Linked DNA regions of Neurospora crassa OR74A. The protein of the gene in region 5 interacts with the protein of the main gene of each other region in a pairwise test. Links are inferred from orthologs where the notes say so. Each region holds a gene or a part of one and is shown on either strand. Other genes may lie near its edges.

The links.
Region 1: the proteins of NCU08218 (region 5) and NCU03818 interact in a protein complementation assay, tested with the Saccharomyces cerevisiae proteins (2 studies listed by BioGRID). The link is inferred for Neurospora crassa OR74A from reciprocal best matches to the Saccharomyces cerevisiae genes AKR1 and NEO1.
Region 2: the proteins of NCU08218 (region 5) and NCU02371 interact in binary tests that used the Saccharomyces cerevisiae proteins (3 or more experiments, as listed by UniProt). The link is inferred for Neurospora crassa OR74A from reciprocal best matches to the Saccharomyces cerevisiae genes AKR1 and RBD2.
Region 3: the proteins of NCU08218 (region 5) and gng-1 interact in a two-hybrid assay, tested with the Saccharomyces cerevisiae proteins (2 studies listed by BioGRID). The link is inferred for Neurospora crassa OR74A from reciprocal best matches to the Saccharomyces cerevisiae genes AKR1 and STE18.
Region 4: the proteins of NCU08218 (region 5) and gnb-1 interact in binary tests that used the Saccharomyces cerevisiae proteins (3 or more experiments, as listed by UniProt). The link is inferred for Neurospora crassa OR74A from reciprocal best matches to the Saccharomyces cerevisiae genes AKR1 and STE4.
Region 6: the proteins of NCU08218 (region 5) and NCU04316 interact in binary tests that used the Saccharomyces cerevisiae proteins (3 or more experiments, as listed by UniProt). The link is inferred for Neurospora crassa OR74A from reciprocal best matches to the Saccharomyces cerevisiae genes AKR1 and KEX1.

What each region holds. Positions count from the first base shown.
Region 1 is NC_026505.1:2,510,554-2,515,561, reverse strand, and holds the start of NCU03818 (phospholipid-translocating P-type ATPase), read left to right. Parts: upstream 1-1,903; 5' UTR 1,904-2,355; coding exon 2,356-5,008. Other genes in the region: NCU03819 (COPII coat assembly protein sec-16, variant 1), read right to left, coding at 1-669. UniProt on the Saccharomyces cerevisiae protein: Flippase that catalyzes the hydrolysis of ATP coupled to the transport of lysophosphatidylserine, phosphatidylethanolamine, and phosphatidylserine from the lumenal to the cytosolic leaflet of the Golgi apparatus membrane and ensures the maintenance of asymmetric distribution of phospholipids.
Region 2 is NC_026507.1:2,720,924-2,725,983, reverse strand, and holds NCU02371 (rhomboid protein 2), read left to right. Parts: upstream 1-1,899; 5' UTR 1,900-2,442; coding exon 2,443-2,653; intron 2,654-2,911; coding exon 2,912-3,049; intron 3,050-3,118; coding exon 3,119-3,388; intron 3,389-3,475; coding exon 3,476-3,687; 3' UTR 3,688-4,098; downstream 4,099-5,060. Other genes in the region: NCU02370 (hypothetical protein), read left to right, coding at 351-581; NCU02372 (N(6)-adenine-specific DNA methyltransferase 2), read right to left, coding at 4,272-4,892, 4,994-5,060. UniProt on the Saccharomyces cerevisiae protein: Probable rhomboid-type serine protease that catalyzes intramembrane proteolysis.
Region 3 is NC_026503.1:2,378,192-2,382,533, forward strand, and holds gng-1 (guanine nucleotide-binding protein subunit gamma), read left to right. Parts: upstream 1-1,182; 5' UTR 1,183-1,362; intron 1,363-1,677; 5' UTR 1,678-1,873; coding exon 1,874-2,034; intron 2,035-2,129; coding exon 2,130-2,250; 3' UTR 2,251-2,938; downstream 2,939-4,342. Other genes in the region: NCU00042 (selenoprotein domain-containing protein), read left to right, coding at 3,383-3,487, 3,729-4,342. UniProt on the Saccharomyces cerevisiae protein: Implicated in the pheromone A- and alpha-factor response pathway. The beta and gamma chains of the putative yeast mating response pathway G protein play a positive role in initiation of the mating response.
Region 4 is NC_026503.1:3,862,799-3,867,651, forward strand, and holds the start of gnb-1 (guanine nucleotide-binding protein beta subunit), read left to right. Parts: upstream 1-1,642; 5' UTR 1,643-2,485; coding exon 2,486-2,612; intron 2,613-2,718; coding exon 2,719-3,437; intron 3,438-3,517; coding exon 3,518-3,727; intron 3,728-3,794; coding exon 3,795-3,815; 3' UTR 3,816-4,853. UniProt on the Saccharomyces cerevisiae protein: Implicated in the a- and alpha-factor response pathway. The beta and gamma chains of the putative yeast mating response pathway G protein play a positive role in initiation of the mating response.
Region 5 is NC_026503.1:4,668,046-4,672,896, forward strand, and holds NCU08218 (palmitoyltransferase AKR1), read left to right. Parts: upstream 1-1,489; 5' UTR 1,490-2,271; coding exon 2,272-2,517; intron 2,518-2,582; coding exon 2,583-3,739; intron 3,740-3,792; coding exon 3,793-3,905; intron 3,906-3,954; coding exon 3,955-4,628; 3' UTR 4,629-4,765; downstream 4,766-4,851. Other genes in the region: NCU08217 (SRP receptor beta subunit), read right to left, coding at 1-1,193. UniProt on the Saccharomyces cerevisiae protein: Palmitoyltransferase specific for casein kinase 1. Palmitoylates isoforms YCK1 and YCK2 at both C-terminal cysteine residues, which is required for their proper plasma membrane localization.
Region 6 is NC_026505.1:5,591,804-5,596,784, reverse strand, and holds NCU04316 (pheromone processing carboxypeptidase Kex1), read left to right. Parts: upstream 1-1,488; 5' UTR 1,489-1,725; coding exon 1,726-1,913; intron 1,914-1,983; coding exon 1,984-2,344; intron 2,345-2,398; coding exon 2,399-3,829; 3' UTR 3,830-4,048; downstream 4,049-4,981. Other genes in the region: NCU04317 (DUF431 domain-containing protein), read right to left, coding at 8-25, 92-410; NCU04315 (dre-2), read right to left, coding at 4,493-4,569, 4,707-4,981.

The DNA.
Region 1 (5,008 bases), on a different chromosome or scaffold from region 5:
AGGAAAAGAGTTGGTTCGGTCGCTCGATGGCAAGAACTTGAAGGGATCCGTATCCGCTCGCGCGAGGTTCCACTCAGGATCGCCGTCATCGCTCCAGCTCGGCTCATGGGGAATGGTTCGAGTGAAGGACATCGTACTCGTGTGCTTGGAAGCGACATCCGATGGCTCGTCTGTATCGGCCTTTTCTGTAGTAGTAGCATCGGTAGGCTCCACATGTTCGGGGACGAGGTCAACGGTGGCAGCGTCTCCTGGGACGGCCTCGGTAGCTTGCGCGTTCTCTACGATGGGCTCGGGAGCTTCGTCCGTCTGAGTGGGAGCTGGCTCGACAGCTTCAGCATCTTCCGTAGTTACATGTGCGGTCTCGGTCTGTTCGGTAGCGGTATCGGGGGTGTCGGTATCAGTTTCACTGGTTATTTGGCTCGTAGCTTGCGCATCAGTCGCGGGTAGTGTCGTATGACTGCCTGTTCCATAGTCGGGAAACCAGGAGTCAGAGGCGCCATTCTGGGCGGGCACGTCCTCTTCTCCTCCATCAATTCCCCAGAAGTCGGAGCCATCTTGGGCTACACCGTTCGCATGATCTGTTGAGTCGGCGACGGTGTTATCAGTCGGCAAGGGGGCCGGGAGGTCGGCGGCCGATTCTGGCATGAATGCCGGGTTCCATGAAGCCATGGCGGGCGATTAGATGGCGCGATACAGCTGGGGACGCTGTATGGGCGCGCAAAAACACAAAAAAAATATTGAATTACTGTATATAATAAGTAAGATTAGTACATGAAGAAGGGGAGAGAAGGTGGGAATATTTGAAGATGGAGAAAGGGTAGTATTTGTTGTTGGCCAGGAGGAGCTAGCTACAAACAGTAGAAGTGGGAAGTCCAGGATGGGGCGAAACTCGACGGGATCGCTTGATCGCGTAACGAACCGAACGGCGATTGGCGACGGGATTGAGAATGGGGAGCGGACCTGGGCAACTGGGCTGCCCTGTTGAGGAGGAGCCTCAGAGGACTGCGGGCAAGACAACCCCTGTTCAGCAGGCCCAGAGTGCGCAATTGTCGAATGGGAATGGGAATAGGGGCAAGCAAAAGGGACGACTAACTTGTACAAGTAGGTTCAGCAGCTGATCATGGCTGTCAACATGAGGAAGAAAGTCTAACGCCGGCTGGATTTCGTCAATGACAAGGAAGAGGGCAATGCTGTCGTCCTGTTTGTTACTACAGATCTGGGAAACGTTGGGATGGAATGGTCGATCACACGTGGGAAAGGATCATAGTATGAGACTGCGCGACTGCAGAACCTCAATGGAAGGCCAAGTTCAGTTGTTGCAACTTGTCAAGATCCAAGACTGTGACGATGGAGGCGCACCGGGAGCGGCCGTCGGAAGATTCCTGGGAAAATCCGCGGAAATCAAGACACAGAGGTCGCAGAAGGTTGACTGCTGCCCTGTCTGCACAATAGTACACTACGCTACGTGGTACATTTAGGCGGTCTGATATATGGATGGCGGGGAATGCGCGGGGATCTCTAACAAAAAACGTTACAACAGCTGTCCTTCCATGTTACATGGATGGGGAAGCAGTATACCTACTTAGCTTATCGGCCTGTCCCAGTGTTGAGAATATACTCAGTTATTTAGGTGAATTCGATGGATGCCGGTAGGTACTGCTTTAACAGATAAGCGCGCTCAGTCCCTCCTCCAGCATCATCACAGCCACTGCACGAACTTGGACGCACCAGGAGGGAGCCTGTCATCGATGGGTAGGTAGGTACCTCTAGAGTGGAGGTACGAGGTACGGTATGAAGAGCAGGCCGCGCACACAGTCCGATCACTGCCACTTTACCACCACTTTCAGTTCAAGTTGTTAGTTTCCGTTCCGAGTCCCCGTTTGTGACTTTCTTTCCGTCACATGCCATCGTCATCTCTCAGTTCCCTACCTCTACCTAGTTGATGTGCCCGCGGACGACTTGATGAAAACATTGTACGAATCACTACCATGACTGGACTATTTTCTATCGAGTAACTTGACACTATCTCGACTCCCGTCCCCTTGCAGGCGCAGCACACCCGACCCCAGAAGCACGTAGCACCCAGCAGCAAGACAGACGCACCTAGACTACCAACCACGGCCACTATGGGAAGGAGGAGTTGATCTCGACACCACGAGGACCCTCCCAAGTGACCCCTAACTCAACCCAAACAAACCAACCACAGATCCGAACGCAGTCGCGACCACAGCCCAAGCTACCCTTAGCTACAGTTAGGCCGCGACAGATCAGACAAAAAAAAAACAAAAAAGGACAACACGACTCAAGAGCATACGCTATCTAGCTGTGGAGGAAAAGGGCTTCGCCCAATGCGGAATGCCTTCTTCAGACACATACCATCTCTCCAAGCCGCCCGATTCCCACGTCGTCGATGAATCCGACTCCGACTTGGAGATAGACCTCGAAGAACTCGACCCCCAGGCAACCGACCCCAATAACCACCACCAGTCCTTGGGGCAACACCGCAGCCGCAACTCGTCCGAACAACGCCCTCCTCCCCCAACAACAAGTATAGCACTTCGCAATCTTCGCATGGGGAGTCTACGCCGTGGCGCCAAACGCAATGGATATGGCGAGCTAGGCCGTAGCCGGGACGGAAACGACGACGACGACGCCGACGCTCTGCTCCGCCATGATCGCCACTCGGTTGGCAGTGCCACCCACGACGAGGATGCCGGCCTCCTCAGCGAACATGGTGGTGGCGGCCGAATACGCACCAGCAGTGGAAGACGACGGAGGTCTTTCGCCGGTGACGGTCTTCGAAACATCTCGATGAAGCTACCAGGCTTCATGTCGGGCGACCAGAGCAACCATAACGACGAGCAGGAACAGGAGGAAGACGACCCCTCATCGTCACGATTAGTTGCAGTTGGCTCATCCCAGTCTACCCGCTTCCCACCCAACATCATATCCAACGCAAAGTACACAGCATGGAGTTTTCTGCCAGTCACTTTGTACAACGAGTTCTCCTTCTTCTTCAACATGTACTTCCTCCTGGTCGCCCTCTCCCAGGCCATCCCCGCACTACGAATCGGCTATCTCTCCACCTACGTTGCACCCTTGGCATTTGTCTTGTTCATCACCCTAGCAAAGGAGGCTTACGACGATATCGAACGGAGAAGAAGGGACAACGAGGCGAATTCCGAAGAGTACACCGTTCTGCAGTTCGACGATCCAGGCGCTAGTCTAGGCATCAACCGGCCTAGGAGGAAGATGAAATCGTCTCATACACGAACGGGCTCTAAACGTCTTGGCATTGAGCAGGAAAATGATCGGCTATCGGATATCCAAGAGGAGGAAGAACAGACTGAAGGTCGGGGTCTTCGCGAATTGCCGGCATCCTACCTATCCGAAGTCAGCAAAAAGTCGCGGGACCTCAAGGTCGGTGACGTCTTGAAGCTTACCAAGGGCCATCGCGTTCCGGCAGATGTTATCATTCTCAAGTGCTTGGCACACGAATCAGCTGCCAACAAGGAGACCGAAGAGCAAGAAGTACCCGCGAAGGAGGAGATGCTGCTCCTGGACCATGTCGATGATGACGATGTTGGAGAGGGCAGTTCCAAGAATGCGAAAACGTCCAAGGAGAGCAACAATAATGGCGCCGAGGGAAGCTCTAGCGGCGAGACTTTTATTCGGACCGACCAACTGGACGGTGAAACTGATTGGAAGCTGCGGTTGGCGTCCCCGTTATCTCAAAACCTTAGCACTGAGGAACTAGTTCGTCTCCGTGTCACGGCCGGAAAACCTGACAAAAGGGTCAATGAGTTCGTCGGAACATTGGAACTTCTTCCTTCGCGACAAGATGTCATGAGCGGTGCCGCCTACAACCCTAGGGAGGGCGACGATGTCAAGGCAGCGCCTCTCTCGATCGACAACACGGCCTGGGCGAATACGGTCATCGCATCGAATGCGACAACCCTCGCAGTGATTGTTTATACCGGACCTCAAACCCGGTCAGCCCTGTCTACATCACCTTCGCGATCAAAGACCGGCCTTCTAGAGTATGAGATCAACTCACTCACCAAAATCCTTTGCTTCCTGACGCTCTTCCTGTCTATCGTTCTTGTTGCGCTGGAAGGCTTCAGCACGGCCAAGGGAAACATCTGGTACGTGAAGATCATGAGATTCTTAGTGTTATTCTCCACCATCGTCCCCATTAGTCTCCGTGTCAACCTGGATCTCGGCAAGTCTGTCTACTCATGGTTTATCCAAAGAGATCCTGGGATTCCCGGGGCTGTCGTGCGAACCAGCACGATTCCGGAGGATCTGGGACGGATAGAGTATCTACTGAGTGACAAGACGGGCACTCTAACCCAAAACGAAATGGAAATGAAAAAGATCCACGTCGGCACTGTCTCGTATGCCAACGAAGCAATGGATGAGGTTGCAACCTACGTGAAGCAGGGGTTTAATCTGAGCTCATCGGCCTCTTCCGCAAGCTTGGCTTTGGCAACCCCGTCTTCAACATACTCGGCCGCCAATGTTGGTGCCACGAGGACACGCCGAGAGATTGGGTCGCGTGTCCGTGATGTCGTACTAGCTCTTGCCCTCTGCCACAACGTTACCCCAACTTCGGAAGAAGACGAGAACGGTCACACCGTCAACTCATACCAAGCCAGCTCGCCTGACGAGATTGCCATTGTAAAATGGACCGAGTCCGTAGGCTTGCGTCTGGCTCACCGAGATCGCAAGAACATCGTTCTCGAATCCGCCGAAACCGGCCGGCCAGTGGTCAAGGTTCGTATTCTCGACATTTTCCCCTTCACTTCGGAGGGCAAGCGCATGGGCATCATTGTCCAGTTCTACGAAAAGCTCCAGCCCGGGAACCCCAGCCTCGGCAGCAGCGAGATTTGGTTCTACCAAAAGGGTGCGGACACTGTCATGAGCTCCATCGTCGCTGCCAACGACTGGCTCGATGAGGAGACGGCCAACATGGCGCGCGAAGGTCTCCGCACGCTCGTGGTCGGCA
Region 2 (5,060 bases), on a different chromosome or scaffold from region 5:
TGTGTTCTTTCCCCTCCTCCTGCAATGTTCTTCCTCCAAATCTTTGCCCTGTGATCTTGTTTGGTCCTGGTGTTGAGTTGTCAATCCCGTCTTGTCGTCGAGCAGCTTGAAGTCAAAAGTGGGGCAGTTGCACGGTGAAACTTCACCTTGGGTTCACCGGACAGTGCCCACCGAATTTTTCTCCTTTAATAACATCAGCACGAATTACCAAGCGCTTTCGCAACAGACTTCAGAGCTTTGAAACAACATCTTGAGCTTGGCCTATTTTAAACGTCCCGACTTTTCGTCCTCTCATTTCTACTTCCACAACCACCAACCAACCAATCATCCTTACAAAGAGATCCTTCAACATGTCTGACAGCAAGCAAATGAGCCAGCAAGAGGTTTCTGCCGAGTTCACTTCCTACTACCTCCAGCGAGCAACCAAGGAGTTTGCCGAAGACCTGGACAAGGTGCGCACGGCTGACGACTTCAAAAACGATGCGATCCACCTGCTCGTGAACGCGCTACAGCAGGGTACTGCGCTTTTCTCTCCCGAAGAGCAGAGGAGGATAGTCGAGTCTGGGGCGGAGAGGAAGTGATGAGGACGAGCGACGCAAGTTTTGAAGGGAAGGGATCACGGAGGTTCAGGGGAGTTGGAGGTTATTTCTTGCGTGATTGCAGGAAGATCCGAAGATGGGAGGTCGTCTCTCGATAGCGGGCATCGAGCCGAGCAGTCCATCGGTTCAAGACGAGAACTGAAGGCTTCGACGGACGTAATCTTTGAGAGGCCACGCGAATCCTTTCCACGTCAACCTGTCTATCGACATGACACGACTGGGGAGAGACTGATTGGTTGAAGCAGGAGCTGTTCACCCACACGATCACCCGCAGTCGGTTCTACGACCATAGTTGGAGAGTAGAGTCAGGCGCAAACCTCAAGGCCGCGGAAGATAGGCATGGAATACCCGTAAAAGCATAGAACATGCGACCAAAGAAGAATGATATGCTGCACAAGATTGATAACCTGATAAATGAAGTCAACCGGTTTTAAATATGGCTGGCTGTTGTACAATTTCTATCCAACAGAGGCCGTTCATACTGAAACGCGCATTCCGATGCCTGGCTGTTTCTAGCGTTATCATTGTAACTGTAAGTAATCATAACCATGACAACATGGCCGAGTGGTTAAGGCGACAGACTTGAATACCGCCTTTATTCAGCTATCTGTTGGGTTCGCCCGCGTAGGTTCGAACCCTACTGTTGTCGAATTTTTTCGCCTTTTGAACCATTTTTTTCCTCCTTCTGTTGGCTTCAACATGTAATTTCACTGATGTATGTGAGATAGATCTCGTTTTCAATTTATTTTTTGGGCTTTGATTGCTAGCTAGACCCTGGACATACAAAAAAATGCCCCTTGGTTTTCCAAAGATAAAGACCCAAAAAGTCTATCGATGGGAACACCTTCCACACGTAGACACCAACCTGCCAAAAGAGACACTGCAGTTTACGCGGTGATAATGTACTTCAAAACCAGAAGGCACGGCGGAACTGAGAGTGGAATACTGAATGGTAACTGACACTCCCGCCTCGACTCTCTACATTGCTCAATGTATAGATATGTACCTATGTACTTTATAATAGTATGTTTACCCTATCCATGTCCCTCCCGTACGGGTGGTTCGGGTTGAAGCTCTGCCGAAGTACGGTGCTTCAGATACACCCAGTATTACTTCCAGTCTGTGTACAAATCAACACTGCTAGCTGGGCAGGTCATTTGATGTCTCAAGTTCAATACCTTTGAAAGGAAGAATAATTTGGACTGGATCACTGCATAAGATTATGGACGGTGAAGAACTGCCGGTTATGGTAGACCCCTCCACTCCACTTCCGACCAGCGACTTATCCAACACGGACGGGGCCAGGGCTGACCAACGCTCCCCACGGCCGCGACGGAACCCCGAGAGCCCGCCTGTCAGCTTTAGTCAACGCGACTACACAAGCTTGGGGTCGGACCTTACTCCTGACCGACATTCGACGAGGGGCCGATTTTTTTTTTTGATTTTTTTTTTTTTTCTCTGAAAACGTTGGATCATCATCTACCCAGGTTACGTACCTTGCAGCCATAAGACCGATCAGGAAGCACTAAACGTCGGTGCTTGCGACAAGGCGGTCATACATACCTGCTACGCCCACGACCCCCCCTCCGCCTTCCTCGTTCGACAGGACAACAACGCCAATTGTCCATTATCCATCAACGGCCCGAGTCCTCGAGACGCTGTATGACATTCAGAGACGATCGGGTTCGCATACAACGGGCGCTCGCAAGTTTAACATTGGACGTGGAGACACCCTCTCCTCCATCGACGGCGCATCTTATCTGGGTTCTTCCTGAACGCAGACCGACCGCGGACCAATCTACCACCCGGATCACGACCTCACACACACACACGAATTCGCATAATGGCAGCCCAGACACTGCCCGCCTCCGGGGCTGCCGTGACGTTCAATACCCAGCGCACGCGTGCATATCTCCTTAAGCTGCCACTTTTCACAAGAGCCACGGTGCTAATCATTGTCCTGACATGGGTTCTGACGTTGGTCGGCAAGTCATGGAACTGGGACGTCAAGACGTGGGGCGCGTTGATACCGGACGAGATTGGTATTGCGACATGTAGGTTCTATTCGGTTTTTGTTCTTCGGTATGGTCATGCCAGGGAGTGGCCAAAGTGGAGGACCTCGCTGAAGGGAATGGGATGGGAGGGAATCCTCAATTGGACGCAGAGCACGCGCTGGTAGCGGACACCGCAGATACCAGACAGCAGTCCTGCGGGATGGCAGGAGGCTTCACATTCTGAAATGGGTCATGCCTCAACGCTGGCCTGTGACATGAGACCTGCCCGAGCACACCTGCTAACACTCTTGGCAACAGTATATCGCATCAACACATTCCCCTTCATCCACCTAAACATCTTCCACACAATACTCAACATTGTCGCCTTTACACCTCTTCTCGAGCGGTTCGAGCATGAACATGGTACTTTAACCTCTGTGGCGCTCTTCTTTGGCCGTAAGACACCCCCCTCTCATCTCCTTGATATTACCCGGGGCCACAACTCACACGTTTGTTCTCCTCTAGCATTCGCAACGATACCGGGCCTCATCTACGTCTTCGTTGAAAGGTTCATCCTTCACGCCAACACGCCAGTCATGGGAGCCAGCATGTGGGTGTTCCTGCTGCTGGGCATGGAAGCTATTCGCACCTACAAGACCAACCCCTACTTCACCATCAGCACCTACAACATTCCTACGTGGATCACTCCTTTGTTGTTGGTGGTGGTTACTGCTGCGTTGCTGCCGAGTTCGAGCTTCCTCGGGCACTTGGCCGGTCTGCTTGTCGGTTATGGGTGTACGTGTTTCAATCCCAACTGCTCCCCTACCTACGTTCATGTTGAGGGGGGGGAAAGCTATATTTGCTAACATGGATGATAAACAGTCGGCCTAGGATACCTCAAGTTCCTCGCCCCTCCTGAGTGGGCGTTGCGGTTCATCGAAGGAAAGCTCAACCTCTTGGGTAGACTGCCTCACTACGTCAGCGTGGATCAAAAGACTTTTGGCAGATTCGGTGTCCTCCCTTCCTCTGCCTCATCAGCCGAGGCTGGCATTCCGTTTTCCGGGGTCTCTGGTGGCCAGCGATTGGGACCTTGAAAGAAATACGGGTTCCCGAAATATGGCGTACATTACGTGCATGAGTAGAAGAGCATGGAAGTTTGAATTGGTGCATACGAGGCATGCGTGTCATGAATAATGGATATAGAAAGGAATTTTACTGTTAATGTATGATGCTGTACGACTAAATACAGGGCCGGGGGAAAATGGAGATGGTAGTTGCATGGCGTTCTCTGGATATGAATCGAATTTCCTCTTGGGATTTGAAGCCTGCAAGTCGAGTCTTATTAGATTTGATGAGTGCCAATCATTCAGCTTGAACACGTCCATGGATGATGAGTACGGGGTCTCAATGGTCTTCAAAGTTTCGTAGCGTCATAAAGAAGCTCGAGTCATTATGGCAAAGGTCGCGAGTTATCCAGATGTAAGAAATAATATGTTATCACTTTGCTTTTCCAACCCTTTTCACGCTTACAACAAAGAAATTTCTATTCATCAGTATACTTATTCCCCTGTACGGTAGTAGCGCCGTCCCAAATAATGGCCCAAAAATTCCCTTCCTATCCCCAATTTCAACCTCCTTCCCCCCCCAATGATCAGCCTAGCCTAGCCCACAGCCTCAATCAAGCAGCAGCAGCAGTAGCAGCACCCTCCTTTTCCTTCCACCCCAACTCCCTCAACGTCCAACCCTTCCCCTCTGGCGTCTCAGCCCCCGCCCCCTCCTCCGGCTTCACCTCAAAATTAGCATAGCAATAAAACTCATTGCTCAACCCCCTCGCGTGCTTAGGCTCAAACGTAGTAGTCCTCAGGCCGTAGCTCTTATACAGCTTCTCCGTGACCAGCGTCTCCATGCGCTCGCCCGTGCAAGCAATGATTCTGGGCTTTTCGCCCTTCTCCTCCGATTTGAGCATCCACCTTACCGTCAACGCAGCCTTGGTCTGGCAATCCTCGCTCAAAAAGGGAGGATCCACAATGACGCGGTCAAAGGCGCCCTTGAGGTGGCTTGGAAGCTTGAGCGGCTGGGCGAAATCGTAAAAGACGAATTCGTCAGCAAAGACGGCGAAGCGGTTGTCGTGCTCGAGTAAGGTGAGTTTGGGCTTGGGCTTGTCTTTGTAGGCGTCGCTGTTCAAAAGGTTCTTGAGCTGAACGAAGACGGAGGGGGCGGAGACGACGGCGATGGAGGTGGTTGGAGTGGCGCCGGCGAGGAGTTGTTTGGCGAGAAAGGTAGCTGTTTCATCGGAGTACTGTTGAGTGATTCTCATGTCAGTTGGTTCGTCTTCGTCGGTTGAACGTCTCTTTATAAGCCATGTGTGAAAAAAAATTAAATGAAAATGGTATCACTCACCCAGAACTGGCTTTCATTCCAATCCTCGGTGAAAGCATCCATAGACAGCTTGACGTTCAAAGCATGC
Region 3 (4,342 bases), about 2.3 Mb from region 5:
TGCACTTTGAGGCTTAGTTGGAACTTGGAACAGAATCGTGGTGCGAACTTCGGTCGAGTATTGAGAAGATAATCCCCAGTAAGAACATATATCCTCCTAAAAGGCATATGATATCGCTGCTTGAACTGCTAGAGTGGCTGCAAACTCTTCTCCTGTAGCTGAATGCACACCAGCAACTGCATAGGACTTCACGGTCTGTGATTACTGTAGTGTACATACATACATACATACATACATGCAGAAACAGGAGGCTCTCCTCTGTACCCTCGTCGTCCCACCCAGAGCGTTCAAGCTCGCGTCCATCATCGGTCGGAGCAAGTGGGCACCCACCCAATGGCGCCATTCCCAATCCCGTCCGGAGATGCCTGCTGAGCCGGGGTGGTTCCGCTAGACCATCAAAGGGGGGACGATAAAGTGGGGGCGGAACCCGTCGTGTTCTGACTGCCCTGCATTTGCCATTCTTGCTGCAGCTTTCATGCACAGCAGCACCGACAGATCCAAAAAAGGTCCCGTCGGTTGGTCGGACTAGTCCTGTCCCTGCCTATCCAGCGGCGGTGGCAGCAGTCCATCTTCAACGGCCTCCATCGTGCTTTTCTTTTCCTAGATCTTGACCTCCAGTCCCGCTTCCAGAAGCTTGCAACAATGTCAATCACAATGGCACGGATGGGGCAGGACAATAGGGAGGCCGGCACCTCATCCTGAATGCGGAGCTCGTGGTGATACTTGCTATCTTGTCTTGATACTAACTCGTCTGCACCCATTCCGTCTACGGTCGTAGTTAGTGTCGAGTTAATCTAACCAAACCCTGCTAAGCGACCCCCTGGTCCGTCTCATTTGCACTTGGCCCTTTTTTTCCTCGTCGCCCTGGGTTGCTTTGGCTGCCCAGAAGAGGAGTGCAGCACCGAAAGCGACCAGCATTGCAGCAGTGCAAGTGCAGGTAAAAGCGCAGCACTGCAGCAGGCCAAGCAGGGGGAGACTGGGGCGTCCATGCCTGCTGGGGAATTGCACGGACTGCACCCGCCTACCGAACCGTTCCCTGCTGCGCTGCTACTGGTTCTACAGGCTGCGCACTGACCCCCGTCGCGGTCCGGGGCCCGCCAGTGGCACTGAAGGAATGAAGGAACTTCCATATGGGCGCCCCTTCTCTTCCCAAGACTTGCTATTAGGAATCGTCAATCGTGTGTCGGTCCTAAGCATTCCTGGCATCGTTGTCCGCAATTCCTCCCTCTCTTCAATCCTCGGGACAGTCAATGATCCATTTGCGCCTTCTCCGACCCTTCGCTTAACCCAACTATCGACTGTCGACATCATCACCTTTTCCCCGTTGCGTGCCAGGAGGTTGCCCTTTACCAAGAGTATCTGGTATGTATTCGCGATTTCTGATCGTTCCCTCTGCTTGCCGCAATTTTTCCAATTGCTCCATCGCGGCCGTCGCCCTTCATTTTTCACGTCTGGCACCTCCGTCCGTCCCCTTCGTGGCCGCCTAATCGCCAGCCGTCAGTAGCAAGGACAGAGGACCGCCGGGGGAGAAGTCCGAACTCCAACTCTTTTTCCATCTCGCCCTCACCCCCCCGACACGAGCAAGCATCAGCGCGACCCCGACCACCGACTGGAGTGAATGAATGGCGATTGACGACGACATCTGAACAACACGGCTGACACGACATGTCTAAACAGCTTAATTCCTATCGTTAAAGACCCACAGCACCACCGACCCCGAGTTCTACTTGCGACCCTTCCTCACCACCAAGCCTGTCCGAACTACTAGTTGTCGGCTTTTGTCGCAGCACCATTGTCGCCCACGTCCCCGACGACACTCCAACACTCCTTTAATTCCCACCCTGGAGTCGAGGCTTCGATAATATCAGCCAAAATGCCTCAGTACGCCTCTCGCGATGTCGGCGACCCGTCGCAAATCAAGAAGAACAAGCAAAGCATGGCCGATCTAAAACTCCGTCGATTGACCGAACTCAACAACCGACTACGTGAGGACTTGGAAAGGGAGAGGATTCCGGTTAGCCAGGCAGCCAAGAGGTGAGAACTGCCATTCGTTGTTGCTCGGGTCGTTCGGCAACATGTGCCGGTCGTGGTTCAATGAGGCTGACAGTCGTTTCTTTTCCCCTATATAGCATAATCACCTACTGCAACAGCACACGAGACTACATGGTACCAAGTGTTTGGGGGCCGGTGCCCAAGTCCGAAGACCCGTATTTGCCACAACAGAGCAGCGGGTGCTGCGTCGTCATGTAAATTGCCAACTGCGAAAAGCTACGACATCAATGCGGCGACAAAAGGGGAGGACATTCGAGTCACTCTGTTTAGCACGGGCGATCAGTTCAGCGTTTCGAAACAGCGATTCCTACGAAAGTCTTTTGGAGGGGCGGACACCGTCGTTTGCAAGCGGGATTGGATCCGGACGGAGTTGGTTTGGAAGGCCGAGAACGTTATCGGAGATTATGAGCGATCAGATGTGCATCATCGGGACGGAAAGAAGTCGGCATTGTTTGCGGTTCGTCCTTTTCGCCGCCATTATCACGATACGTCAAACCGGGGAGAAAGGTTTTGAGGAGTGAAGACACGACGGCTGGCCTGACCATAATGCTTATTCAAATACCCCCCATCCGTTACTTCGGATCTACGGCAGGCAGGCTCGGCAGACTCTTCAGCATGTAATACCTTTTTATTTTTCTATATTTTCTTTCCCTTTTTTTTGCTTCTTATTCCCCGGTTGTACTCTTTTATACTCGGCCTTCTCGATTCCCTTTTTTGTCTTTTACATGTGTATATCCTGCTTCATGAAGCGCTTTTCGCGCGGCTTCCTCTTCTGGGTCTGGAAAGGAAGGGGCTTACGACATGATAAGTGAGGCAAATGAAATGCACTAGACTATCGATTTTACTCAAACTGATGATATTTGAATGAATGCATCAAAATAGCTCCAGTTTCCTCATCAACGGAATTTGATATCCTATGTGATGGATTGCTGCAGTTGGGTCGAGAGATAGACATTGAAAAATGTCTCTATCAGTGCACTTAACGGTTGGTAAATCCTCACATAGTAGTAATCCATTTTGGGGATCTCGCACTGGTTGTTGATGAACTCATGTTTAGTTCGGAGGCGTGATGACGCACAGGCGATTCGGGGTGCGGAACCCATCCGATGGAGCTGAGTAGGTATGTACAGCTCCAGGATTTAGCCGTTTCTCGTGTGGACTTCCCTCCAAATCACATGAACTCCCACTTACACGCCGCCACCTAAAACCGACCAGAGTGAGAAAAACACGCAAAGTCCATAACAATCAAGAGGCCTCCATCTACGCGAATATATATACATGTACATCACTCTCATTCTTGACATAGCATTTCCCAGTACACACAAGGATAATGGACCAATCTCCTACTACTACCAGTGCCTCGACTCCAACTTTACTTCCTCGTGTTACCATCCGCTTTTGTACGCAGTGCAAGTGGATGCTTAGGGCAGCATATGTGAGTAGAAAGTTTCCTGAAGATATCAAGTACTTTTCAGACGCTTCGAGTCTCGCCACTGTCATCTATTCACCGTCTCGGAAGAGGGTTTCTGAATTCCCTAACCCCCACCTCACCCTCCCACTTCACCTATACCATTCATCATCCACACTTTCACCAATCGCGTTCCCGTTAAATACACATGAATCACATGAACCTCAGCTACATCTCCAAAAATTCTAACCCCCCTTCTCAAATACAGTACGCCCAAGAACTCCTCTCAACCTTCTCCACTTCTCTCGGCGAGGTCGCTCTCCAGCCCTCAACAGGCGGCACTTTTATCGTCGACATCACTTACGCCGCCGCCGCCGCCGCCGCTGCTACCACCGCCACCACTCTGGACAACCGAGCTTCTACCACCACTCCCGAAATACAGCAAAAGACAATCTGGGATCGCAAAACAGACGGCGGCTTCCCCGAAACCAAGGAGCTCAAGAGGCGGGTGAGAGACGTGATTCAACCCGAGAGAAATCTGGGGCATGTTGATCGGGATTATCATTCCAAGAAGCAACAGGAGCAGCAGCCGGCTACGGAAGAAGCTACTATGGAAGCTATAACAGGAACCAACAAGTCTACGGAGGCTGATGCTGCCCCCCAGCAGCAAAGTACCTCTAACAACAAGACAGAGTGTGCCGATTGCGATAACTGGATGACTGAGGAGACTTACAAGGGAGGGGATTTTGAAGGAGGACATGCTGGTGGGAGTGGGGCGAGGCAAAGCGGAGAGCAGAGTAGTAAGACGACCGGGGAAGGAACTGGAACTGATACGAGGGGAGGTAGCGGAGAAAAGAAGACGGCTGATTCTAGCTGGATGAC
Region 4 (4,853 bases), about 810 kb from region 5:
CAGACAAGGGGGCAGGTCCTTGTCCCTAGTGAAGACCCGGTCGGCTGGAGCCTCCTTTTCTCTTCCTGGCAGGTTGCCCCTGGTGCCTTGCGCCTTCGCCTTTGGACGGAGTGCCTGTTTGATGAGACCTTGAAATCTCTTGGAGCTTGACAGCTCACATGGACGGCCAGACAGCTCACCGGATTCCCAACTGTATCAATGTCGAATTCGTTGTAGCTCCGTGAGGCAAGGGAAAATCTCAGCGTGGCCGTGGTGGTATTGTATCGAAGTGGGTTTACTAATCAAAGCGATTGAATGATACCGTGCGAGCGTGGGTGCCTGAAATTTGTAAAGTCTGGTTGATTTCAATCGAGTTCATTGCGCGAGCGAACATTTACGACCCCAAGTCCGTCCGGTGGAGCCAGTCCGTGCACATGCATTTGCGTGGGCCGTCTCCGCTCTCCATCGGCGCAAAGTGCAATTCGTCCGCGGGGCCTTGCTGTCCGCCCGCTTACACGTCCCAAGACCAGGGCACTCACTGCAAAGAAGCAGGGTGACCAAGTCCACAGAGAACCCACAGTCTCTTTAGCTTCCACCTCCTGGCTTTTCTTGGTGGAGGTCTCGTCAGTCGGCGGGATATTCTTTGCATCCACTCTGCGAGAAGTCGACATGCGCCCATCAACCACGGGGGAGGAGCTGCACCCGAGGAATGGGGCGCAACGGAGCCTTCAATTTCAGAGATCCATGACTCCGGTGCCTTCGGCCAGGCTTGTTGAAGAGCTTGGCAAGATTTAACTCGTTTTCTTTCTTCCTGTTCCATCGGGGGTGCGGTGCGGTGCAGTCCGGTGCGGCGTGGCTAGTGCGAGGTGTCCATGTCCGCCGTTGAAATGTTGAAGATCAGAATCAGAGGGCAAGAAGTCGAAATAACTGCCCCAGCTTCAAGGTTCACAAATCCCTTTACTCCCTTCTCAAAAGTCCCGTCTTGTTCCATCATCCAAGCCCTTCGGCCCGCCATCCAGCCCGCTGTCCGCCGACCGGGCTCTCCTGTGTTATGGATAAAAAATCGTGAATTGGGCGATCTCTGGGGGTGGCAGGGCCTTCATACCCAAGATGGCAGCTTGTACAAGAAATAACAAGTTTGATCATTCTCAAACAGAAGATTTCTGTAAAACCACTAGCGCCTTGGCTGTACCGCGCTGCTCTTTTACTACTATGTATGTACTATGTAGGTGTAAACTAGGTATATTCATGCAGACGTGTGTAGTGTAGTGTGCTCGCTCCATTGGGGAGGTTTGCTGCACGCATCATCCATCCCGTCCATTGCCTGGGAGACCCGACTGGACACCAACGAACCTGGAAAAACCGAATCCGTTCCTCTGTACCTAGTTGTACACCACAACCTCAATCTGCACTCGCTTCCGCTTCCATTGACACCCGGCTCTTGGGGCTTTTCACTTCCACACTGCTTCACAGGACGACGCTTGACACGGCCTCCATTCCTTCCACCTGCCCCCAAGCGTAGACGTACCCGGACACTAGTACAGGCTAGGTAGTACAGGTAGACCCAGTGCAGGCCTCCCGTCACTCTGTGAGGAGGTTCCGCTCTGCCCCTACAGTAGAGTACAGTAGCCCAGTGCAGTGCACGCAGCGACCCAGCAAAGGCTCCATCGTGCTACCCCCCGACCGGGCCCCTCCCCCCGGGCCCATACCCAATCTGGCACCAGGTAATAATCGCAAGGAAGAGGAACTCTGGCCAGCCTCTTCGTTCGCCAGTTCGATTCGGCCGCCCGCCCACTCGCAGAAGCGAAATCGATCCCCAGTCCTTCTTTTTCCCCTTCTTTCTGTTCTTCACCACCGAACTCCTGTCGATTAGCGACAGCCTCTCCAACTTGCTTTTACGACCTGACAGTCACTCGCGTCGGTCGCGTCGCTCGAGACTCTCTTGTCCATCACTGCCCTGCCACCCTCTCTCGAAAGCTGACGCCACGCACGCCTGCCTTTAGTCTCCATACTCTAGGTTGTCAGGGTCGCTCTTCGCCTGGTCAATATCCGCCATCCACTCATTCGTTCGACAAGAGTCTGTCCGTGGACAAGCAAGAGGCTTTTCCCCCCCAATCCCTCTCCACCACTCTCCTCATTTTTTCCAACAGCAGTCATTTCGTTCAGAGCAGGATCGGGACCTGCCTCGCCTGCCTAGCTGTTTGAATTGGCCCACCACCGCATCGCCCGACCCCTGGAGCTAGCAATTCCTCCTCCACCGGCGCCCCGTACCAGCACCACTGCTTTGCACCATTCTCAACATCCACACTCCAGCAACCGACTCCGACTTGCTGCATCTCTGAAGATCCGACGTCCCTAGAGTCCAACCTTTGTCATCGTCATTCTCCCTGTCTCAACCAGTCACAACAACATCACTTCGGAGTAGTCCGTCCCTCATACGAGTTCGTCGCCAATTGTGATTACGAATTGAACCAACACACCTCAAGAAAAAAAAAAAAAGAGAAAGATGGACTCCCGATCAAGCGATGTGTCGCCAGAGGCGATGCAGGCACGAATTCAACAAGCGCGTCGCGAGGCCGAGAATCTCAAGGACAGAATCAGGCTGAAGAAGGAAGGGCTCGCCGATACTTCCCGTGAGTCCCCTTGTCGGCAGGTCGCGAACTGCGCCGTTGTCCGCCCATGCATGCCGTCGTCAACGGCGGATTGACCGCTGCATAGTGTTGCTGACATGATGTGTAGTCTACGAGGTCGCGCAACAGGCCCATGAGCCACTTCCGAAGAACAACATGATGAAAACAAAGAAGACGCTGAAGGGCCATCTGGCCAAGATTTATGCGATGCACTGGTCTACCGACCGGAGGCATCTTGTCTCAGCATCTCAGGACGGCAAGCTCATCATCTGGGACGCTTATACGACCAACAAAGTTCACGCCATTCCCCTACGATCGTCTTGGGTTATGACTTGCGCCTATGCCCCGAGCGGCAACTTCGTTGCCTGCGGTGGTCTTGACAACATTTGCTCTATTTACAACCTGAACTCGAACCGTGATGGCCCAACTCGTGTCTACCGGGAGCTTTCAGGTCATGCGGGCTATCTCTCTTGCTGCCGTTTCATCAACGACCGCAGCATCCTCACCTCCTCCGGCGATATGACATGCATGAAGTGGGATATCGAGACAGGAACAAAGGTTGTTGAGTTCGCCGACCATTTGGGCGACGTCATGAGCATCAGCTTGAACCCCACAAACCAGAATACCTTTGTGTCAGGTGCTTGCGATTCTTTCGCTAAGCTTTGGGATATCCGCGCTGGCAAGGCCGTACAAACATTCGCTGGCCACGAGTCCGATATCAACGCCATCCAGTTTTTCCCCGATGGCCACTCTTTCGTAACGGGTTCCGATGACGCTACTTGCAGACTTTTCGATATCCGCGCAGACAGAGAGTTGAACTGCTATCGCGTGAGTAACCTGTGGATTATTCTCCTCTCGGTTCTTGATTTTTTTTTCTCTTGGTGGCTTTAGAGCTAACATTTGGGTAGTCCGAATCTATTCTTTGCGGCATTACCTCTGTCGCGACATCAGTCTCTGGACGTTTGCTCTTTGCCGGTTACGATGACTTTGAATGCAAGGTCTGGGATCTTACTCGCGCTGAAAAGGTTGGCTCTCTCGTCGGTCATGAAAACCGTGTCAGCTGTCTGGGCGTTTCCAACGATGGAATAAGTTTGTGCACAGGCTCTTGGGACTCCTTGGTAAGTTTCTACCCGCAACATCAGATCGATATGGTACAGGCCGCAGATTAGACTAACTCCCTCACAGCTCAAGGTCTGGGCATATTAGGCGCATGTGTGATACTGATACGACCGGCACCCTCTGGATACCCGACCACGACGCGTCACTTTGCCAAGCCTATCGAGTGCTTTTTTCTATTTGTTCTATTCAACCTGGTAACGCCTCTTGATCCTTGCGATTTGGCGTAGACAGGACGAAGTCACGACATATTTTTCGACCCAACAATCTCGGCTCCCCGGGCTTGGACCATCATCAACTGGCCTTGCTCCCCGGTTGGAATCCTTTTTAGCTTCTATAGCGGTTTTTCCGATACTCCACTCGATTTGCTGCGTCATATTTTCAGCGGGTTCAGTTCGCAAGGTGGGCGGCAGCGATATCCTGGCTTTGTTCAGCTCTCCGTACGCCAACCCGCCTCTCCCCTCCAGAAAACGTCCCCCCGGATAATATGATCCGACACGTTCATCAACTTCGGGTCGCGTAATTCCCCGGGCATTATTACAGGGACGTCTGTACCAGGTTTTTTGGACCCGGTTTGGCTGGAGCAGAACGTCCAATAATCATCAAGGTCTGGCTCGACGGGTCGTATCATATTCCACATGAGTGGTTGCCAGTGTCTCTCACAGGGGTTGTGTCTTGAACCAGTTTACCGGATACCCTCTCTATACGTATTTATCCACATCTTTGCGCGCATTTTCTCAGCGTTTGGTCTTTCTCTAGTCTATTACCGGCGGGGTGGGTAGGAAACCGTCAGGGTGTCTATTTTCACGTGTGTTGATAAAGTAGGCCGGGAATGCAAAACGGTCCCTTTGTCTTGTGTTTTTCGCGAGAAAGAGGCGGGGATCGGCTCACGAGTGGCGACGGTAAACAGCAGTTGCGGTAAAGGCTTTGGGGGAGGTACCATACCCTTTTTCTATTTCCCCGATTTTTCGTTAGGCAAAGGGTGTATATCGTGGGGATCTTACCTATTCTGTCATCTTATCTTTCTTCATCTGCCCTTTTGCTCTCTCTCTCCTTACCTCGCTCTTCTGATACCTAGTATCTTTATGACGGTTGTTTCTTTCACTGATGGTTAATGGTGGATATGCT
Region 5 (4,851 bases):
AACCTCTCGCTCCCATACTCCCCCAACCAATCATCGCCTTCCTCCTTCTCCCCCGCTGTGACATCATCCTCCTTGACGCCCGAATCCAACAATCCCTTACTCCTACTGACTCTAATCCGCCCCAGCTCCGCTTCCAGTTCCTTCTTCACCAAAGTCGCAGGCAACGCCGTGAAAAGGTCCAGTTTATTCGCAGCGATGAGCACGGGGATCGAAGGCGGGTGCTTGCTTCCTTTCGTGTAGCGGCTGTAGCGGTGTTGGAGAGATAAAAGGAGGTCGTACAGGTAGGTGGCGGCTTGGCTGAGACTGGAATCGGGAGAGGAGGGGGAGAGGGTGGATGCGTCGAGGAGGAAGATGACGCCTTTGATGGGTTGGGATTTGGAAGGCGGAAGGGGACGGCCGGTTTTGGGGTCGAGAGGGAGGAGGTGGGAGAGCGCGGTGGAGCGGAGTTTGGGGTGGCCTGGGGTGTCGATGAGGAGAAAGTTTCGCTTCGGTTGGTTCTCGGAGGGAGAGGAAACAGAGGAGGAGGAGGAGGAGGAGGAGGAGAAGGGAGCGGCGGCGTTGAGTTTGATGGAGACGGGGGTTTGGGAGGTGTGTGTCTTGGCGGGCTCGGTCTTTTCGTCGGTTGAGGTAGAGGTGGAGCGGCCGGCGCGCTTCTCGAACAAGGTCAGGAGGGCGGTCTTGCCGGCGCCGGAAGGACCAGCGAGTAGGATCGAGGGGAGTGAGGAGTTCTTGGAGGAGGAAGAGCCGGATTCGTTGCCGTGGAGGACTTGGTGGAGGAAGATGGGGAAGAGCAAGACGATGAGGAGACCGGTGATGATGACGGTCTTGTTGGGTTGGAGGGAGGCGATGAGCAAGTCTTTGATGAGCTCTTTGATGTTCGAGGTGGAGGAGGGCGTGCTGGATGCTGCCGCGACGGTTGCGGTTATGGTTTCTATTGTCGTGTCCATGGTTGCGGTAGAAGCTTGCGCTACTTCGGACACGTTGCGCGGGGGTTTCGATCGATCACTTGCTTCTTGTCTGTTTAACTTCGGTTGAAATGTAACAAGGAGATTCGTAGATGTTATAGTGACATCCCCCTTTTTTTGGTTTGGTTTGTTGAGACGCGTCGTCGGTTGTTGAGATGCGCGTTGCAGGGGGGGGCCAAGAGGTCTCGACTCGGGGTGTTTTGGTGCCGAAAATGACACCATCGTCATTCGAGATAAACGACCAAGTTCCCGGCAGACGACGGTCTCCACAGAAGATTGGGGTCCTGTCCTGGCGCCCCACCAAAGGGCGGGCCCTGAGCTGGACCTGTCACACTCACAGAGACACCGCGCGGCTCTCTGGCCCGTTGCGTGCGGTTGCGGTTGCGGGCCCGGGCTTCAGGGTTGGCTGGGGACGAATCAGCACAGTGGGCGTGGCAGTGTCCGTGCACCCCGACCACAGGGCACACTAGCTGTCACCGAACCCGCAACCTACACCCGCCGAAAACAACGAAGACTCGGAGAACATTGGAAAGACGAGGGGATGCGATCTTTCTACCAGTCTACCTATCGCATGTGTCAATGTCTTTATCGACATCTCTGGTCCGTGGCAGTGTGAGACAGATAGCCAAGGGCTGCCCGATAAACCCAAGACGTCCCTGGACCCTGAACTGGTCTCTCTCCGCCGCGGCACCTCGGGCAGTTCAATCCCCCGGAGGAAGACCCTTGCAGCACACAACCGAAGCTGCATGTTAGCGGAGACATCAACCAGCCACCGCAGACACGGCGATACCGGATGTTGACACTAACAGGCAACGGGTATTGACGACAGTCCACCATCAGTTCAAACTCCATGCCCGGAAGCCACAGCCAAGTCAAAGTCCAACACCAAAGTTCCCGTCTTCGATTCACTTCCACTTCTCAAGTTGGCGACTCGGACACGGCGGAATCATCAGCCATTCCCATCCATCGCCGACGGTCTCTTTTCTTGTTGATCTTTGTTAATGTGTATTTCGACTTCCGGCCTTGTCCCTAGAGTTACTGCGAGCTTCGAAATATTTTATTCCCGTCTTTTTTTCCTTGTCGCGACTCGTCGCTCCTCGTCTCCAGTTGCTGCGCCCCGGTGGTGGTCTCCCCCTCCACGCCGACTCGTACCGTCGCCATCTGTGCCCTCACATGATAGACACGACAACTCGACACACTCCGACTACTACCACTACCACTACGATCCTGATCCTCGACCTCCGAATACCGTAAACCTTCTTCGCCGACTGATCGAACGATTATATTTCACCACCGCGATCCCACAATGGTGCACCACGACGGGGCCGACGCCCATGCCGGCCATGCCGCCCCCGCTCAACCGCCCATGAAATCCGACACAGCAACTCCCAAGCTGAACAGCGAGGTCGAGCTCGGTAGCCTCCCCAGCGAAGCACATAACGATATCATGCAAATGGCAAGGGTAGGCGACATTACCGGCATGGAGAAGCTCTTTGCGGCCGGCGAATACGATGCCACGTACTCGGATGACGAGGGCATCACGCCTCTACATGTAGGTCCAATCCTCTCCTACACTCCTACTTCGACACCCAGCTGACCCTGCTCTCCTTCTCGCAGTGGGCCGCCATCAACAACCAGTATGCCATGTGCAAGTTCCTCATCGACAAGGGCGCCGAGATCAACAAGAAGGGAGGAGAGAGCGTCGCAACGCCTCTACAATGGGCCGCCCAACGATGCCACTACTACACCGTCCACCTGCTGCTCCAGCACGGCGCCGATCCCTTGATCACCGATTCTCAGGGGTACAACACACTACACATCAGCACCTTCAACGGCAACGTCCTGCTCATCGTCCTCCTCCTCCACCAAGGCATCCCCGTTGACGTCGAAGATGCCTACGGTCATACAGCTCTCATGTGGTCCGCATACAAGGGCTTCCCCGCTTGCGTCGATGTCTTTCTCCGCTGGGGAGCCAGTGTCCACGCCAAGGACGAGCAGGGGTTCACGGCACTACACTGGGCCTTGGTCAAGGGAAGCCCGGGTTGCATCCAGAAGCTGATTGAGTACGGCGCCGACCGGTTCGCAAAGACAGCCAACGGCAAGACCCCCGCCATTACGGCCCAGGAGCTCAACACGGTTGCCGCCTGGCAAAAGGCGCTGGACGAGTGCGGTTACGACGAGCATGGCAACGCCATCGTCCCCAGCTGGCCTGGCGCGTCGTATCTCCTTCAGGACAGGAGGTCCTTCATGACCAAGTTTACGTTTCTGTGGCCGTTTGTGATGGTGTGGGCGACGATGGTTGTCATGGCTGGCATGCCTGTGTTCGTTGGAATCCCGTTGGGCGTCTTGGCGGGCTATGCCGTTCAGTGGGTGGCACAGCAGGTCATCGCTTATGCCCCGCCAGACATGAGGCAACTGCAGAAGACGCCTTGGATGGCTGGTATCTTTGCTGGGTCGCTGTTCTTGTGCATCATGAACTGGCTGCTACACATCTTTGGCAGCACAATGTTTGGACAGGATTCGGCAGTCATCCCCAACTTGCTGTTTGCCTTCTTCATCTCCATGACTATCTGGTTCTACATCCGGTGTATGGTTGATGATCCTGGGTTCGTGCCCAAGATGGGAGGTGTCGCTGAGCAAAAGGCCGTCATCGATGAGCTTATCAGCCTATGGAAGTTTGACGAGTCCAACTTTTGCGTTACCTGCATGATCCGCACGCCTTTGAGGAGCAAGCATTGCCGTAGGTGTCAACGCTGCGTGGCGAAGCATGATCAGTGAGTATATCGAATCAAAACTAGGTCAGAATGGGAAAGCTAACGGGGAATAGTCACTGCCCTTGGGTGTACAACTGCATCGGCGTCAACAACCACCGTCATTTCTTTTTCTACCTCATCAACCTTACTCTGAGTGTTGTCACCTATGACTGGTTGACCTACAGATGTGAGTCTGTCCCATCGCCCTCCTACAGACCAATTGCTAACGCAAGCAGACCTTTCCACCCTCTCCGAGACCGCCTCCGACGAGTGCAACATCCTTGCCCCCTCGCTCTGCCGCATCGTCAACGCCGATACCTACAGCCTCCTAACTGCCATCTGGGCCTCGCTTCAACTCACCTGGGTCTCCATGCTCCTCTTTGTCCAGTTCGTCCAAGTTTCTAGCGCGATGACCACGTACGAAAACATGCACGGCATCGACAATTACTCGGCCACCTCCCTCAACAGCTCCTTCACCTCCACCGGCGCCCCCCTCAACCCACCCTCTCTTCCCGCCCCCGGTCCATCCCCCGCTGCAGGCGGCGCTCGTCACGGTGGCCGCCACGCACACGGACACAACCACAAGCAAGGCTTCATCAAGCAATGGTCTCGGCTCCTCGGCGTCGACGCCTTTATTGAAACTGCGGCAGGTCGGGGTGCGACTACGGGCAAGGGATCCAAGAGGAACAAGCGCGGCAACCCCTATAGCAGAGGGTGCGTCACGAATTGTAAGGACTTTTGGTGTGATCCGAGCCCCATGTTTGGGAAGCATGAGAATGGCGCGGCGGTGTTGGGCGGTGTGCCGGTGAACTATACGGATATGTATGAGAGTCCGGGGGTCATGACATCTGGTGGCGGAGGGAGGAGGAGAGGTGGGGGGTATGAGAGCGTTGCTGGTGAGGAGGTGTAGATGGGAAGTTGTGTACCATGATGCACGGGGGTCTGGAGCTTTAGGGGTATTTGGGTAATGACATGGTCGACTCGTAGACTAATGATGACGAGTATCTCTAATTGGAGCGCGGCTTCTATATGATTTTTAAGGTAACGGTAGAATGTCTGGCTACAGCAGCCCGATCGGTAGTCGTATCGAGCTGTGTCCGCCTTCCATGATTCGGGCTTGGGAATGAGGCAAT
Region 6 (4,981 bases), on a different chromosome or scaffold from region 5:
AGCTTACCTCTCGGGGGGTCGTCACCTATGACACCATGCAGTCAGTATTAATCACTCATCAAACACTTTCCATTTTCCAGGAAAGACATACCCAAAATACCGCCAAACAGGAAAACATCAAAGGTGTCGCCATCCTCAGGGCTCAAGTCCTTCTTGGCCGCGGGATCCAGCAGGCAGACCCTGCTCTTGTCAGCAGCATAGATCTCCTCAACACCGCGGTTCTCAGCCTTGAAGGCCGGCACAGCGGCCAGGGCCTCGGGGACCTTGAAGCCCTGGGGCAGGGAAGTCAGATGGAACTCGGAACCGATCTCTTGCGATTCCTTGGCGATAGCGAGGTACTCGAGCTCGGACCAGGGGCCCAGCTCCTCATCGAGGTGCTCGACGATGTAGGTCTTCTTGGTGGCGGCCATTACTACGGTAGCTGGAGTAGGAATTCAAAAACCGGCTCAAAAGTTGTGCTGGGACCAAGATATTCAAGGATATCAAAAAGGTCAAAGTGAGGGTTAAGTTTGTGTGTAAGTGTTTGGACGATCTCACAAGGCCAAGACTAACATTTTCTTGGTGGAGCTTTCTGATGGCTTGGTGGGGTTCTCCGTGCCAAGATGGACGGCATGCCGTAACGGTGATTCAGTTCGGCGATCCGGGCCCGGGTTGCCTTGCCCGTTCTCGGAAGCCGGCCCCGCAATGTCTTATATCATCATTCCGGCAGAGATCCCGGCGGTAGGGGCTGTCCGAACTGAGGGATCATGTACATGTCTGATTGTTATGTCTAATTGTTGTCTCATACACCTGGGGAGAGTGTGGATGAACTTGTAATCGTATATACGAGGAGCTCACGCTTGACTGCCGAGATGAGTCGTGCTCGCGGACAATCGCTCGGTTGTTCAGGTCTGGGCCGATTTTATGAGCAGCTGTTCAGTTCTTGCCGATATCCGGATTTAGAAACTTTCGTCTGATGTTTTCCTCTAGGGCTGCTCTTTGTCAACCATCAGGGAGTAAAGTTGTCGAAGAGGTTTACACTCTGTCAAGTCATGTTAGTGGCTGAATAAGGCTCCGTTTATTCACGTCCAGATGCGGTGCCTGAAGATCTGGAAACAACCTTGGAAGCTCTCATAGCGAGTAAGTTGGTGTGTAATTAGAACTCTGTCCCCGATTCCATAACTATACAATAAGTTCTTGAGGCATTAGAATATAGCAGACAAGGACATTAAGAGTATTATCTTTCGATATCGACATTGCTTAGGTTGGATAATCGAAGGAAGGAGAATGGAACTGGCTTGCGCGTCCATCCACGAGGCGCATGGACTGAGTGACTGCATGGAAGAGAAGACCAGGCCCCCCAGCTATGTGTTAAGCTAGCATACCGGGATCGCCCAATACCACTAACAGGGTCCCTTACTTGTAATGAGATTGCCCCCTGTGAGGTCTAGCTGAAATGGAACGCCACTATCCGTGCCGCAGTGGCATTCATCCCACGTTGTACACTATTGTCCGTCCGCCCCAAGGACAGATTCCCTCTTTACCGTTTCATCCATGGATGCTGTCTCGGAGCAACATCTCGACCTTTTCAGAGTTCCTACAACTTTTGCCGTTGTCGTCGGCCTTCTTCTATCCTCCCCCATGAATGTGGTTGGTGGTGATAGGTAGCCAAACTTACGACAATTGTCTCCTCCTCCATCCCACCCACCACAACTGAACCCAGCGACTTGAGTCCAGTTGGTGATCATGGCCGCCACCACCACTACCACCAATGCTGGCCGGTCTATGGCTAGCTGGAAACGACTGTCGACTCTAATCGCGGCATTCACGCTGTCATGGACATCCAGCTTCGTCGCCGCTGCTGGCTCCGCCGACTACTTTGTCCATGATCTGCCAGGCGCACCAGATGGTCCTCTGGTGAAGATGCATGCCGGGTAAGTTCACTGTTGCTGCGCGAATCCAATATGTTGGGGAACACCAAGGCTGACATGTTCTCACAACTAGACATATCGAGGTCACCCCTGATAACAACGGCAACCTGTTCTTCTGGCACTTCCAGAACAAACATATCGCCAACAAACAACGAACCGTCATCTGGCTAAATGGTGGTCCTGGTTGCAGTTCCGAGGATGGCGCATTGATGGAGATTGGTCCCTACAGACTGAAGGACGAAAACACCTTGGTATACAACGATGGCGCATGGAACGAGTTCGCCAACGTCTTGTTCGTCGACAACCCCGTCGGCACTGGCTTCAGTTATGTCGACACCAACGCCTATATCCACGAGTTGACCGAGATGGCCGCCAACTTTGTTACCTTTTTGGAGAGGTGGTTCGCTCTGTTCCCAGAGTACGAGCATGACGATGTAGGTGCCACACTCTGAACCTCTTCGATTCGTTCTGTCTAACCGATTTCTCAGCTTTACATTGCCGGAGAGTCTTACGCCGGTCAGCACATTCCCTACATCGCCCAAGCTATTCTCGAACGTAACAAGAACGCTGGTCCCGTCAATCGCAAATGGAACCTCTCGGGCCTCCTCATCGGCAACGGCTGGGTTTCCCCCAAAGAGCAATACGACGCCTACCTCCAGTTTGCCTACGAGAAGGACATCGTCAAGAAGGGTACCGACCTCGCCAACAAGCTCGAAATCCAACAGCGTATCTGCCAAAAGGAAATCGCCGTCAAGCCCGACAAGATCGACTACCCCGAATGCGAAGCTATTTTGCAAGACATGCTCCAACTGACTGCTGGCGGCGTCGGCGCCAGCGGCAAGAACCAATGCTACAACATGTACGACGTCCGCCTGAAGGACGACTACCCCTCATGCGGCATGGCCTGGCCCCCCGACCTCAAGAGCGTAACCCCCTACCTCCGCAAGAAGGAAGTCATCAAGGCCCTCAACATCAACGATAACAAGTCTACCGGCTGGACTGAATGCAACGGCCAGGTAGGCATGAACTTTAACCCCAAGACCAAGCCGTCCATCACCTTGCTTCCCGACATCCTCTCCGCCGGCGTTCCCATCCTGCTCTTCTCCGGCGCCGAAGACCTCATCTGCAACCACCTGGGCACCGAAGCCTTGATCTCCAACATGGAATGGAACGGCGGCAAGGGCTTCGAACTCACCCCGGGAACCTGGGCGCCGCGGCGCGACTGGACCTTCGAAGGCGAACCGGCCGGCTTCTGGCAACAAGCGCGCAACCTCACCTACGTGCTCTTTTACAACTCCAGCCACATGGTCCCCTTCGATTACCCCCGCCGCACGCGCGACATGCTGGATCGGTTCATGGGCGTGGATATCAGTAGCATTGGCGGACAGCCTACGGACTCGAGGCTCGACGGGGAGAAGTTACCCGAAACGACGGTCGGCGGCGCAGCAGGGAATAGCACGAGCAACCAAGCGGCCGAGAAGGCCAAGTTGGAGATGGCCAAGTGGGAAGCCTACCGCAAGTCAGGCGAGCTGGTTCTGGTGATTGTCATTGTTGCTGCGGGCGTGTGGGGATGGTTTGTCTGGAAAGAAAGGAGAAAGACTGCTGGGCAGGGGTATATGGGTGTTGCTACGGGCGAGAGACATAGCATTTCTAACAACCCGGGACCTCGTGGGAACCTTAGTGGTGGTGGAGATAGGACGAGAGGTCAAGGATTGGCAGGTTTTAGGAACAAGAGAAGCGGGAGGAGGGATGTTGAAGCGCAGGATTTTGACGAGAGCGAGTTGGATGATTTGCACTTGAGCAAGCCGGAGGACCCGCATGCGGATAGTAGGTATAGCATTGGTGGTGCTAGTGATGATGAAGAGGAGCAAAAACCGGGGAAGGGTAGTTCTAGTAGGCAGCCTGGGGGGAGATCGTGATTAGTTAAGTGGTAGCTCTTGGGTGAAATGTTGACTTGGTTATTCTTATAGACTATCGGCGTTTCTGATATCCTTGGCAGGCAAGCTGGTACGGGTTTTGGCTTGGGTATTTTATGATACAGAAAACATCACACATTTGTGCACAGGACCAACGGTACTATATACAGAGGCATCTAACCTCAACGCGCCATGCAATACTTACACATTACATAAAATAACAAGTCACGTATCGTGATGTTAAGGCTTTAGGCAATTTGAGTACCATCTTATCTTGAGATTGATCTGCACAATGAACCATTCCAAATTGACGTAAAAACATCAACACCCCTTTTCCTATGTTCGCAAATCCTATGCCCCATTAATCAGAAGGGACCATACACGGTGAAGAACACTTTTTTGTGCATCAGATTTGACCCGAAAAGCATCCATGTGAAGACTATCGTAACATAACTAACGTAAGAAAAAAAAAAAAAAAAGAAAAAAAAAACCCCAGGACGAACATCTATCCTGAAGAATCTAGAAAGCAAATTTCATAGCCGGGTATCTTGTTGCGAAATCGTCGTGTGTCAGGCCTTACTTTCATGCTGGTGATAATTTGGCGCTGAACTGGTTCGTTCCACTTTCTCTTTTGGCATCCAACTGTTCTTTTCTTTTCCCTCCACATCACAACTGCGGCACGTTGTTGAGGATCGACACCTCCTCGCCGACCTTGAAGGGTGGGAGACCTAGGTAGGGGCAGCCTGTGTTTGTACTTTTGTTAGCCATACATTCTTATTCCTTGTCTAAAAGACAAGGCTGGGGAAGGGAAGGGAAGGGGAAGGGAAGGGAAGGGGAAGGGAAGGGAAGGGGAAGGGAAGGGAAAGGGGATAAAACATACCAGCACACCTGAAAGCATCTCCCAACGCACAGCTACCACAGCTCCCTGTCTTCCCGGGAACTGTCAGGTCCAGCTCCAGCAAGTCCTCGCTCTTGAGCTTGAGCGTGTTCAGCGCCTGGTCCGCCTTGTCCCTGCGCGCCTTGTCCTCCGCCTCCAACCGCTCCGCCAGCCCGCACGTGCAGTCCTTGCACGCCCTTCTCTTCTTGCCCGGCTTGGGCTGGCACTCGGGCGGCTGCTGGATGGGGCGGCGCAGGTCCGCTTCCGTGAGGAGTGTG